Linked DNA regions of Sus scrofa. The protein of the gene in region 1 binds, or shares a complex with, the protein of each later gene. Links are inferred from orthologs where the notes say so. Each region holds a gene or a part of one and is shown on either strand. Other genes may lie near its edges.

Region 1 (3,392 bases):
GCTGCTATCTAGCAGGTGGGGTAGTGGAGTGGATGTTTGGGAGAAAAGAACAAATTTGATGCTAATCTTACACTTTAGGGCAGACAGGGAAGAAGAGCCAGGGAAATAGGAAAATGGTGCGAGAGAAGGGAGGAGAGCTGCGGAGAAGTACCTCAGCCCAGAGTGGAAGGAGCTTGATTAGGAGGGATGAAACTGCCTCAATTCAAATAGCCATTGGATAGGATAGGTCACCAGTGACCTGAGAGCAGTGTCCATAGCCTGGAGGGTAGAAGGCAAGTGGTTGTGTGGGTGGTAAGTGGTGACATGGAAGCTGCAAGTATGAGGTTAAAAAATGTGAATGCAAGGTGGTTTAAGAAAGAACTGAATCAAAGGAGGCTAAAAAATAAATTGTAAAAAATTATCATGGGAGACCTTTCACCCATGTCCCCTTGATGAGGGCAATGAACTTAGGGTTTCAGTCAGGCTAAGACAGCTTCCTGTACAGCTCTGGAATGTCCCTCAGTGCTCTGTCCTTTCCCAGTGAGTAACAGTCCCAATAAACATTTCACAGGGAAGCTATAAGGGTCAAGCAAGATAATATATGAAAGAGCTTTGTCAACTAAACTGTTATACAAATATTAGTTGGTAGTAAAGTGCATTGTTTATTTAAACCCTATCTTCTCGTAAAGGAATGTAAGGTATTGTGGAACTACTGGCTCAAAGAGCCGGGAGGTGGGGGAGGGGGAGGGAGCATGTGAATGAATGAGTGAGACACAGTCCCAGTTCAGAAGCTGCATTTCCCCTTAGAATGGCTGTGTGACTCTGCAAGGCCAAAAAAAAAAAAAAAAAAAAAAAAAAAAAAGCCTTAGATTTTTACATAACTCTTGTTAGCAGGGTTTTGTGTGGCCCACAAGGAGGACTCCTTGTTGATTTTGCCCAACAGTTTCAGTTCCTTTTGGAATGCAGAAAAGGGAACGCCGCAGAGAATGTTTATTGTTTAGGTTATCAAGATAACTCTGATGTTGTTGCAAAGTTTCGTGATAATAGTAATAAACATTTAATAGTAACAGGTGCTATCAGGTTATGTCACTAGTATGTGATTGATCTTACCTTTGACTCTAAAGCTAGTATTTTAGCCACATTCTAGTCCAAATAATTCCAAAATGCCTAGGTCAGGCATTCTTATTATTCAAGTCAATAGGTCTCTGAGAATGGTGTCAGACATAGTTAAGGTTAGTGGCCGTAAGTATAGTTATTGGTTCTTTATAAATACTTGACATGTTTGGAAAAGTGTCAAGTGAATGGGTACTTCCACATAAAGCAGTTCTTGGGATTTCCCATTGTGGCTCAGTGGTAATGAGCCCAACTAGTATTTATGAGGATGTGGGTTTGATCCCTAGTCTCACTCAGTGGGTTAAGCATCCAGTGTTGCTGTGAGCTGTGGTGTAGGTTGCAGACAAGGCTTGGGTCTGGGCATTGGTGCAGCTGCGGTGTAGGCTGGCTCTGATTCCATCTCTAGCCTGGGAACTTCCATATGCCACAGGTGCGGCCCTAAAAAGCAACCAAACCAAACCCAAAAAACAGTTCTCAAGAAAATTGGGGGATTTAGTTCTGAATAAATTAAGAGAAAGCAAATTAAATGAAGTTTCCTTAACAACAACTCAGATTCCATGCTGGTTTCCATCGTGGGGATGGCCCTGTACACAGGATATGTCTTCATGCCTCAGCACATCATGGCGATACTGCACTACTTTGAAATTGTACAATGACCAGGATGTGACCGGAATCAAGAGGTTCCTTAGGGAAGAGCCACCGTCTGAAGTTGGAATGAGACCTCATTCAAATGTCGTAAGAAACTCTTCTAGATGTCAACATAATCAATCCTACAAATATAAAGACTAAAATTCATGAGTAGAACAGGAAAGCAATCCTGACTCATGTGTTGTGTTCTTTATTTTTAATTTTAAAAAGGAGCTCTTGTATAGTAGTTTTTGTCTATTTTAACATTGTAGTCATTTGTACTTTGATATCAGTATTTTCTTAACCTTTGTGACTGTTTCAATATTACCCTGTGAAAGCTTTTCTTAATGTAACAACTTTGAGTACATTTTAATTGCCTTCTATTTCTAAAACCCAAAGTCATTAGTTGGGCTCTACCGTTCTTTCTTGCTATTGTACGGCAAACATATCTGCCTGGATATATTTCTACTCTTGACCAAAGTTTTGTAAGAAAAATTCAAGATTTTGGGCAGGGGGCTGGGGAGGGAGGATATTTTACTGAGAACTATTTACAAAAGACTTATCTGTAAGTTTGAACTCAGGAGTACAGTTTTAGCTATCTAGACTCTACTCTTTAACAGCTTTTGCTTTAAAACTATTAAAGTGTTTCTTAACAATGAAAAAGAAAGATCTTGCTAAAGTTAAAATAAGGAACATTTCACCTTTTAAATATTTAATTCTTGTGTGGACTCATTTCCAGAAAATTTTGGTGATGATTCTTGTGACAAATGATGGTTAAGTAGCATTATTATGTAATGCTTAGTACTGTAGAGTTTTTAATAGAAGGTAAATCAGTTTCCTCTGAGCACCATTAATAACTGCGAACTTCCTTAAATTTAGTTCCATGATTGTAATGGGTGCTGCAAATGCGTTTGCACATTGCATATGATGAGATGAATTGTTGATAAAAAATTATAGCAAAAAGAAACGTAAACTTGGTTAAAATTCTTCCATGCTTTGTATTGTTTTTTTTAAAAGATTTTTATTCCTTAAATGTAAAATGACTACCTGATTTTTTGATGTAAACTCATTAAATTCAAAGAGAGAAAAATCAGCTGATGTTGCACTACGTTGTTTTTTTTACCCCCCTCAATAGTTAAATATTGATGTAATAGTAGTTCTATTTCTGAATCAATTGCTATGGGAAAATACGCAGTAATTAGTAAGTATATCTTTCTTTTTTTTTTGGCCGCCCCATAGCATATGGAGTTCTTGGACCAGGGATCAGATCCGAGCCTCAGTTGCCACCTAAGCCACACCTGAGGCAATGCTGGATCCTTAACCCACTGTGCTGGGCAGGTATTGAACCTGCGTCCAGGGCTTCCAAAACACTGGCATTCCCATTGTGGTACAGTGGGAACTCCTGCAGTAAGTATATCTTAACATGTCTCTCAATATAAAAGTATTGCTTATTTTATTTTATTTTATTTATTATTTATTTATTTATTTATTCTTTTTGATCTCTTTGTCTTTTAGGGCATATGGAGGTTCAATCGGAACTGTAGCCACTGGCCTATGCCAGAGCCACAGCAATGCGGGATCCAAGCTGCGTCTTCAATCTACACCACAGCTCATGGCAACACTGGCGGGATCCTTAACCCACTGAGCGAGGCTAGGGATCAAACCCCCGTGGA
Region 2 (4,318 bases), on another chromosome or scaffold:
TGAAATATTTGGGGATCACGACTTCTGCCCATCTTCCCTAACGCTCCTATCCTGGGTCTCCCCCCGTCATGACCCAGCAGGACTGGTGGGTAGAAAGAAAGAGAAAAAGAGAAAACAGACTAGAGACAACCTTTGCCTAGACCTGGAAGCCGTCTTCTTGGTCATATGAAAACAACCCGTCCAGATGTTTTACCCATTTGGCAGCCACTCAGCTAACCCTCGTGATGACACCCACTTGGCTGCCACACCAGCAGGGCGCTTTTCTCCACCAGAGGAGACGCAAGGAGGGAGAACGCGGCCAATGGCTCCAGCTCCCACGGGTGGCTGGGGCCCACGTCAACACAGCTCTCCCAGGGACACAAAACCACACCTGTGGCCTCGCTCCTACCCCCTTTCCTCACTGCCCACCCGTCCTCGCCTTGGCCTCCTTGCCCAGCACCTGTTTCCAGGTGTGAGTTAGCACCATGCCTTCCCCTGCCCAGCTCCAAGGGCAGAAGCCCTGCAGCAGGAGGAATCAGGAGGGCTGCCCCTGATGCCCAGGAAACAATGCAGCCCAGCTGCATTCCTGGATGCAGGTAAGAAGGGGAACGAGCAGCCCCTTGTCCAGAGCTCAGCTGTCCCCGGATCCCTGTGACCAGCAGGAGGTTTGAACAGGTGGCACGTTTGTACTGGCTCACCTCCCTAGCTGAGGGAAGATCCTACCTGATAAAGACCCTAAGGTCACTGCCATGGTAACAGCCTCATCTTTCCTGGGGATACAGATGGGGGGATCCTGGAAGCACCCAGAAGGCCACCCCCCTCACCCTGCTGCAACCAACAGACCCACCCGCAGGCTCAGCTGCCCTCAATCTCTGGCTGGGATCAAAGAGCCTGCATGGGAGCTGGAATTCTCAAGGATCGGTTCCCTACTTCCGGGATAATGGGAACGATGTTCTCTTCTTAGGCGGCTCCAAACTTAGAGACCCCAGGGGAAACATGACCCACAACACACCTTGCCAGCATACAAACAGACAAACGACAGCTAGGACACACCCTAGCAGCAGTGATGCTCCTGCGGCCCATCAGCTCAACCCATTAAGCTGGATAATTGGGCCTCACAGAAACCCAAGGAACTAGAAAACCAGGACTGGCTCGGTTGTTTACCTCCCCAGGGCTTAGGGCTTCAGTTACCCTAACACAGCTCTTGGGACACCTACCATGCAAATGCTTCCACCAGGTGGAATGTTGGGGGGGGGAAGAGGGGGAAACTCGCTAAGAAGTAAGGGCTCTGAGGACTTAACTACTGACTAAGGAGAGAGAAAGAGTTCCCTGAGTCTGACCAGAAACCGCTGCCCTCCCCCACTTCTCCCTAACCTTGACCTACAAGGCTGTTAAAGTAGCGAGCAAGACCTCTAGCCCTCCCTGGTATTTTGCCCAGGAGCGCCAAGAGCCTTGCTGAGTCCCAGATCATCCCATACTCCTTCCTGGCTGTAACAGGGCATCCAACAAAGCCTGATGACTCTAGGAAGGACTCAGACCTATGACTTAACCGATTCCCAGGGAAGCTTCTTTCTGCAGCCTGAAACACTAGATGCCCTGAAAGCAGAATACCCCAGGAGACGCCCCCCCCCACCCCCAACAGACAGATGAGGTCAATAAACTAAGAAAATGACAGGCAGCAAGAAGCACTCTTGAGGCTTCTGTGTGACTAAGGCTACATATCACTTCCATTAGTGAAATAACCAACTTCCCCCAGCCCAGACGGGAGAAGTGGGGAGAAGCTGGCAAAGACAGAAAAGTGTACATACAGCAGCTGAGGCTGAAAAGTTCTACTGCCATAGCTGGCAGGTGGCTGTTCGCGTCAGTCCCTGATGTGGTTTCATAACCTGCCTCAAACCAGAGCCTGCAGCAACTCTGTTCTGTTAACCACTTTCTCGCTGGTAGTTCTTTCCTACTCCTTCCCTCTCTTCCCCTCTTGCTCTGAACACAAATATCCCTGCCCAGCCTGTCAGACACCTAAGCCAAGGCCACAGTGCCAGCAGCCAGGTGAGCACTTTCGAGTCTCTCCCCCAAGTCAGGGCAGCAAATCTTTCTCTGGGTGAGGAGCACAAAGCATCCAAGCCTGCAACCTGGACCCCAGCGGGGAGTCCCTGGCAGCACGCCAGAATGCCATTCTCATTCTGCCCACCCCCTAACCCGGAGGGCTACCGTCGCTCGCTTACCTCTCAGCTCTGGCCCTGCCTCCGGGACTCTGGGGGGCAGTGGGAACGGAAAGATGTCGAGTACAGCAGCGAACCCCTAACTAGCAAGGGGAGAGGGCGAAGCGAGGAGGCGGAGTCCTTACTATTGTTGGGGTTTTTCTGAGTGAGACTGCAAGCCGAAATGGGGGGCCTCCGCTCCGTTCCCCAGCCTGGGACCTCTCACTCGGAGCCTGGCCCGGCCTGGAGCCCCACCCCCCGCGTTCACCCAGCCCTGGAAGCTGCCAAACCTTTATCCCCAAAGCCCAGCTGCTCCCCGCCCCCCACCCCCAGCCCGAGCGCTCCTCCTCGACGCTCCATCCCCGGCCTCCAGTCCCCACTTGCCCTTTTCCCCATCCCTTCGAGTGATGCACCCTTCTCGGCTGATGCACCCCCTCAACCTCCGCTCAGCCAGTCCGGGACCCCTCCAGTCCCAGACGCCTCCTTAACAGCCCCCACCTTCTTTCCCGTCCCGCCTGCTAGCCCCCGGAGGCTCCCGGTTAAGCCACTTGGAGGCCGCTCCTCCGGACTCACCGTGCGGGGCCGGACGTCGAGGGCCCGGGAGGGGTGCCCGGGGGCGGGGGCCGCTGCTGCTCCAGCAGCTGTAATAACCCGCGGCGGCAGCCACCCCGCTGGCAGCTCGGGCCGAATCAGCGCCCGGCGCCGGCCCCCATTACGTCACCGCTCAGCGCCTGCCCGCCCGACGCCTCCTGGGAGTTGTAGTTTTTCTCCCCTGCTCCAGCCCAGGCCGCTGGGGCCGCACGGAGGTTTTTAATAGTACGTGCGCGTCACAAAGTTCAGATGGTATCGCCTTGGCGCATAACAATTCCTGCCTTGGCATCCGCGCTCCTGTGGAAATCACTCTTGCCGGGTTTTGCAGATGAAGAAACTTGGAGTTTTAAGTAACTTGCCATAGGTCCCTGCTCGCCCCCAAGCTGGACCCGAACCCAGAAATTCTGACCCCAAGTCAGATATTTTCAATTCCACCTCTCTGCCTCTGCCCTGGCCCTCCGTCAAACGACTAGCCTAGCTGTTTGCCTTGCTGGGCCCTCCTGGAAGCGGGTTTTTTCACGATGTTTTTTAGGATAAGAGTCTGGCGGGTAGAGAACGCAGTCTGTGGGCAGACTGTCTCCTGCTCAGTTGCCTCTGACCCGGGCTGGCCTGGGACCGGCCACATCCTGGGCTTCACCACATTAGATGTGGGAAGAGGACATGTGACTTGGGAAGACTCCCTGCTGAATAACTACAACCCTGAGTCCCAGTCCCAAGTCAGCTGTGTGGTTTGGGGTGGGAGGGTCTCTAGTCTGTAGTTTTCACATCTGCAGGCTCTAAAGGCTAAAGCACAGGTTTCTCCTGGCACAGATTTACCAGGTAGACTTATCAGGCACTCCTCACCACCTGCATAACCCTAGGCCAATAACATCTCTTAATCTCTGATTCCACACCTGTGTAAACCTACCTCTGAGGTTGTGCAAATTCAAAAGAATGTATCTCAACAGAGTTCCTGTTGTGGCTCAGCGGCAACAAACCCAACTAGTATCCACGAGGACATGGGTTCGATCCCTGGCCTCGCTCAGTGGGTTAAGGATCCGGCATTGTGGTGAGCTGTGGTGTAGGCCGCAGACACGGCTTGGATCCCACGTTGCTGTGGTTCTGATGTAGGCCGGGCGGCTACGGCTCCTATTATACCCTGAGCCTGGGAACCTCCATATGCCCAGGGAGTGGCCCTAGAAAAGACCAAAAAAAAAAAAAAAAAAAGTCTTTCCCCCCTCCCCGAAGTGAGCCTGCTTAACTCCTTCACCTTTTCTCTGGGATTCTTCCAGCCTCTCTGAAGTTGATCAGGGCTCTGCTCTTTGCCAGTTTCCTTACTCTCTGTGAAGTTCAGTAACCCAGACTGGATCCACCTCACAAACAAGGGCCGACAAACACATAGTCTAACAGAAAGATTGCTGGATGTGCTGTGCGCTATTAACAGCTTTTGTTATCAGGTCAGTTTTTTTTGTTTGTTTGTTTGTTTGTTTGTTTTTTCACAATGGGAATGAACAGAGTAAATGACTCACACACTACATTCATGGTAAATAGTGGATCACTTTCTGCTTAAT
Region 3 (3,646 bases), on another chromosome or scaffold:
CTTTCAATGACTAGATCACTTTCGGCTCTACTCCCTGGTTTGTCTAAACGATTTACGATTTACCGGTAGTCTGAACTCCTGTTTCTGCTGGAGACAACAAGTAAGGAATCCGGAATTTAGGGAAATCATTGAGCCACTTGCTTTTGGGTCTTCTGAGTCCCCCTGAGTGGAGCCAACACCCCCTCATCATCTCTTTGAGACAGGTGTAGGCCTGTGGGAGGTGTAGCCATTAGGATTTGGATAAAATTTTCATATAAGGGAGCAGATAACTGACTTTTTAAAACCTCAAACCCATTTTTTCCCCTTTTTTGCAGGGGGGCACAACTGTGGCATTTGGAAGTTCTCAGGGGCCAAATTGGAACTGCAGCTGCTAGCCTACAGCACAGCCACGACAACACCAGATTTGAGCCATGTTCGAGACCAATGCCACAGCTCACAGCAGCACCGGATCCTTCATTCACTGAGTGTATCCAGAGATCGAATCCTCATCCTCATGGATACTAGTTGGGTTCTTAACCTGCTGAATCACAACAGGAACTACCAAACCTGGGTTTAATTTCATTTTCTTTCTCTCCTTCCTTTCCCTCTTCTTTTAAAATTCTTTTAAGCATTTTTTTTAAAGTATAGTTGATTTACTATACTCATTGTTGTTTAATTTCTGCTCTGTAGCATCATGATCTAGTCATACATCTATATACATTCTTTTTCTCACACTATCTTCCATTATGTTCTATCCCAAGAGACTGGATATAGTTCCCTGTGCTGTAGAGCAGAACCTTGTTGCTTATCCATTTTAAATGTGATAGCATTTGTTTTATGTTGGCAGTGCCCTTGGTAATACTGGCACTAGAAGCACGGGGCTAACGCTTCCTTAGTCTCATCCCATCAGATCAGAATCTTAAGTCAGGTGGAAAAGACATTAGAGGATGACAAGCTCTGACCCACAACTTACCCACATTTGTGGGAGAGAAAAATCTTTTAAAAAGACATTTCCAGGGAGTTCCCATCATGACTCAGTGGAAAGCAATCTGACTAGCATCCATGAGGACGAAGGTTCCATCCCTGGCCTCACTCAGTGGGTTAAGGATCCAACCATTGCCGTGAGCTGTGGTATAGGCTGCAGATAGGCTCTGATTTGGCTGACTGTGGGTGTGGCTGTAGCCAGTGGCTTCAGTTCCGATTCTACCCCTAGCCTGGGAACTTCTACACACCGAGGGTGAGGCCCTAAAAAGCCGCCCCCCACAAAAAAAAGAAGAGACATTTCCGATCTTGCTACAATTCTTAAAACCCCCAACGTGTAGCTCAACGCCCTCAGCCTCTGACTTTTACCCACTGTTTCTACTGCCCACCTTGCTTTCTTCACACCACCAAAGCCAAACTGCTTACAGTTTCGTAGCATCATTTCTTTGGCCTGATATATCCATCATTCCCTCTTTCTGAAAAAGAACCCTGCCCTCTCCTGTCAGTCATGTGTCTACAAGAATGATATTCATTCAGTCTCCTTAGATGCCCCACCCCTTCCTGTCATGTGTCTACAAAACTGACATTCATTCTAAGACTTCTTAGAGGCCCTGCCCCTTCCTGCCATGTGTCTGCAAGACTGATGTTCATTCTATGACTCCTTAGATGCTGCCCTGCAGAGTATGCCATCCTTCTCCTTTGCACTAAGTCTTGGCCTGGGTGCACAGCCAGTGTTGTCTTTTTTCTGATCATGTCATCATGCATCCCATGCCTCTCGCACCATCAGGCTTCTTGACCTGGGCCTCCCTTGGCTGTGAACACACCCACTAGGCTGTGCTGATGGATCTGGGTTGCCAAGCTGCACAGACACTCTGGAGGACACCAGAGAGCCCCTCAGGTGGCGTTCCCAGGGCATTCAGGTTCTAAACAGACATAACATACTTACCTTTCTTCCAGCTAAGTAGCCCCCTGAGGCTCCAAAGCTTTTGGTGAAAGTGCCCATGCACACATCGACGTCTCTGGGGTCCATTCCAAAGAATTCCACCACACCTCGACCAGTGGGGCCCAGGGACCCAATACTGTGAGCTTCATCTATGTAGAGGTAAGCCTTGTATTTCTTCTTTAGAGCCACGATCTGGGGCAGATACACGATGGAACCTTCCATGCTAGAGCAGAAGGAGAAATGTTGTCAGCAGGTGTGCCATCTGGGGCAGCTCTGGGTCACTGCCCCTTGCAGACAGCCTGCCCAGACAGACACCAGACAGGGATGACAGACACAGGCCATTCTTTTCTTCTCAAGGCTTGTTTTATTGTGCTGAGGCCACCCTCTCTATCAGGCTGCTCTGGTGTTATTGCACTTGGAATAGTCATTTTTATCCAATGGATTTAAGCCCTTTGAGTTGTTACAGCTAATTCCCGGGTGAACTATTAGCTCATGGCATTGGTGATCAATTGTATCGGTAAAACTGACTAGTGTAACTAAAACCACCATGTTGGATTCTAGGTACTTTGCTAGTTTTAATTAAATTGCTCTATACTAATGCATCTTTATCAGCCTGCTCCTATTTGCCCAGTTCTGTTTGACCTAAACCCAGTACTTGAATTACTGGAAATTAAAAGAAGGAATTCAGAAGTTCCTGTTGTGGCTCATCAGGTTAAGAAACTGATGTTGTTTCCATGAGGATGCGAGTTCGATCCCTGGACTCACTCAGTGTGTTAAGGATCTGGCATTGCTACAAGTTGTGGCATAGGTAGCAGACGTGGCTGTGGCATAGGCCTCAGCTTCCTCTGAAGGACTTCCATAGGCCACAGGCACAGCAATAAAAATAAAAAATAAAATAAAAGTAGGAATTCAAAACATGCAAAAGAACTTGAAGACATCTTAGTAGTCATTAAAGCCAAGGCTCTTTAATTCAGTCCTCACTGAAGTCAAAGGCTTACTTAAGGCACCTCATGGTGTCCTTTCTTTTCCTTTAGGGCAATGGTTCCCAATCTTGAGTGAGCAACAGAATCTCTTGAAAGATTTGTTAACACACATATTGCTAAGCCCCGCCCCCAGGGTTTCTGATTTATTAGGTCTGAGGTGGGCTGAGAATCTGCATTTCTACCAAGCTCCCAGGAGATTCCAGCACTGCTGGTTGAGAACCACTGCTATAGATCAACTTTTGATTTAGCCAGAAATGCTTAATTTTTCATGGTATTATCGTAAATGTCCATGGTTTTGTAATTTGCAAAAAACTCTTCAAGTCCTCCAACAGAGGGAAAAACAGGAAGTAAATAAGCAAGGAAGATTAACATTCAGATTGACGTGGCACCTCTGGAACCCAAGGGATTTAAGAGACCTTTTATCTTGAATCAGTTCTCAGAACACTCTGTAAGCTGCATTTACATGGCACATAGTTTTGACTGCACTGACAGGCAAGTTCTAGGAAAACACACAGACTCACACTCTCATGCCACAAAGGACCTTGTCAAACAATTCGAGCCACCTGTCAATTTAGTTCATGAACTAGTCAATCGATGCAAACAGAGAGTTGAACTTCTCCCTTCTTCTTAATTAGTTTACTTAGTCACTTTAATGTATTAAAAATAACTTGAGCCTTAGGCTGATTTAGTCAAACAGTCCTGCTGGTATGTAGTTACCCAGACCAACGGGTATTGGATGTAGCATTTGTGCTTTTTTTTA

Evidence for each region.
Region 2: the proteins of SPTSSA (region 1) and ORMDL3 are in contact, whole or in part, in a cryo-EM structure (PDB 7CQI), measured with the Homo sapiens proteins. The link is inferred for Sus scrofa from reciprocal best matches to the Homo sapiens genes SPTSSA and ORMDL3. Residues at the interface, in NP_612145.2 of Homo sapiens: Ile44, Tyr50, Thr51, Val54, Phe55; in NP_001307730.1 of Homo sapiens: Val36, Leu38, Ser39, Ile40, Pro41, Phe42, Ser44.
Region 3: SPTSSA (region 1) and SPTLC3 share a complex: the UniProt entries of both Homo sapiens proteins name them as parts of the serine palmitoyltransferase (SPT) complex. The link is inferred for Sus scrofa from reciprocal best matches to the Homo sapiens genes SPTSSA and SPTLC3.

Annotation. Positions count from the first base shown.
Region 1 is NC_010449.5:65,323,066-65,326,457, forward strand, and holds the end of SPTSSA (serine palmitoyltransferase small subunit A), read left to right. Parts: intron 1-1,644; coding exon 1,645-1,748; 3' UTR 1,749-2,812; downstream 2,813-3,392. UniProt on the Homo sapiens protein: Component of the serine palmitoyltransferase multisubunit enzyme (SPT) that catalyzes the initial and rate-limiting step in sphingolipid biosynthesis by condensing L-serine and activated acyl-CoA (most commonly palmitoyl-CoA) to form long-chain bases.
Region 2 is NC_010454.4:22,409,712-22,414,029, reverse strand, and holds the start of ORMDL3 (ORM1-like protein 3), read right to left. Parts: upstream 2,901-4,318; 5' UTR 2,751-2,900; exon of another isoform or gene 2,676-2,750; intron 2,584-2,675; exon of another isoform or gene 2,562-2,583; intron 2,448-2,561; exon of another isoform or gene 2,324-2,447; intron 2,282-2,323; exon of another isoform or gene 2,202-2,281; intron 1,811-2,201; exon of another isoform or gene 1,788-1,810; intron 1-1,787. UniProt on the Homo sapiens protein: Plays an essential role in the homeostatic regulation of sphingolipid de novo biosynthesis by modulating the activity of the serine palmitoyltransferase (SPT) in response to ceramide levels.
Region 3 is NC_010459.5:21,845,826-21,849,471, reverse strand, and holds part of SPTLC3 (serine palmitoyltransferase 3), read right to left. Parts: intron 2,127-3,646; coding exon 1,907-2,126; intron 1-1,906. UniProt on the Homo sapiens protein: Component of the serine palmitoyltransferase multisubunit enzyme (SPT) that catalyzes the initial and rate-limiting step in sphingolipid biosynthesis by condensing L-serine and activated acyl-CoA (most commonly palmitoyl-CoA) to form long-chain bases.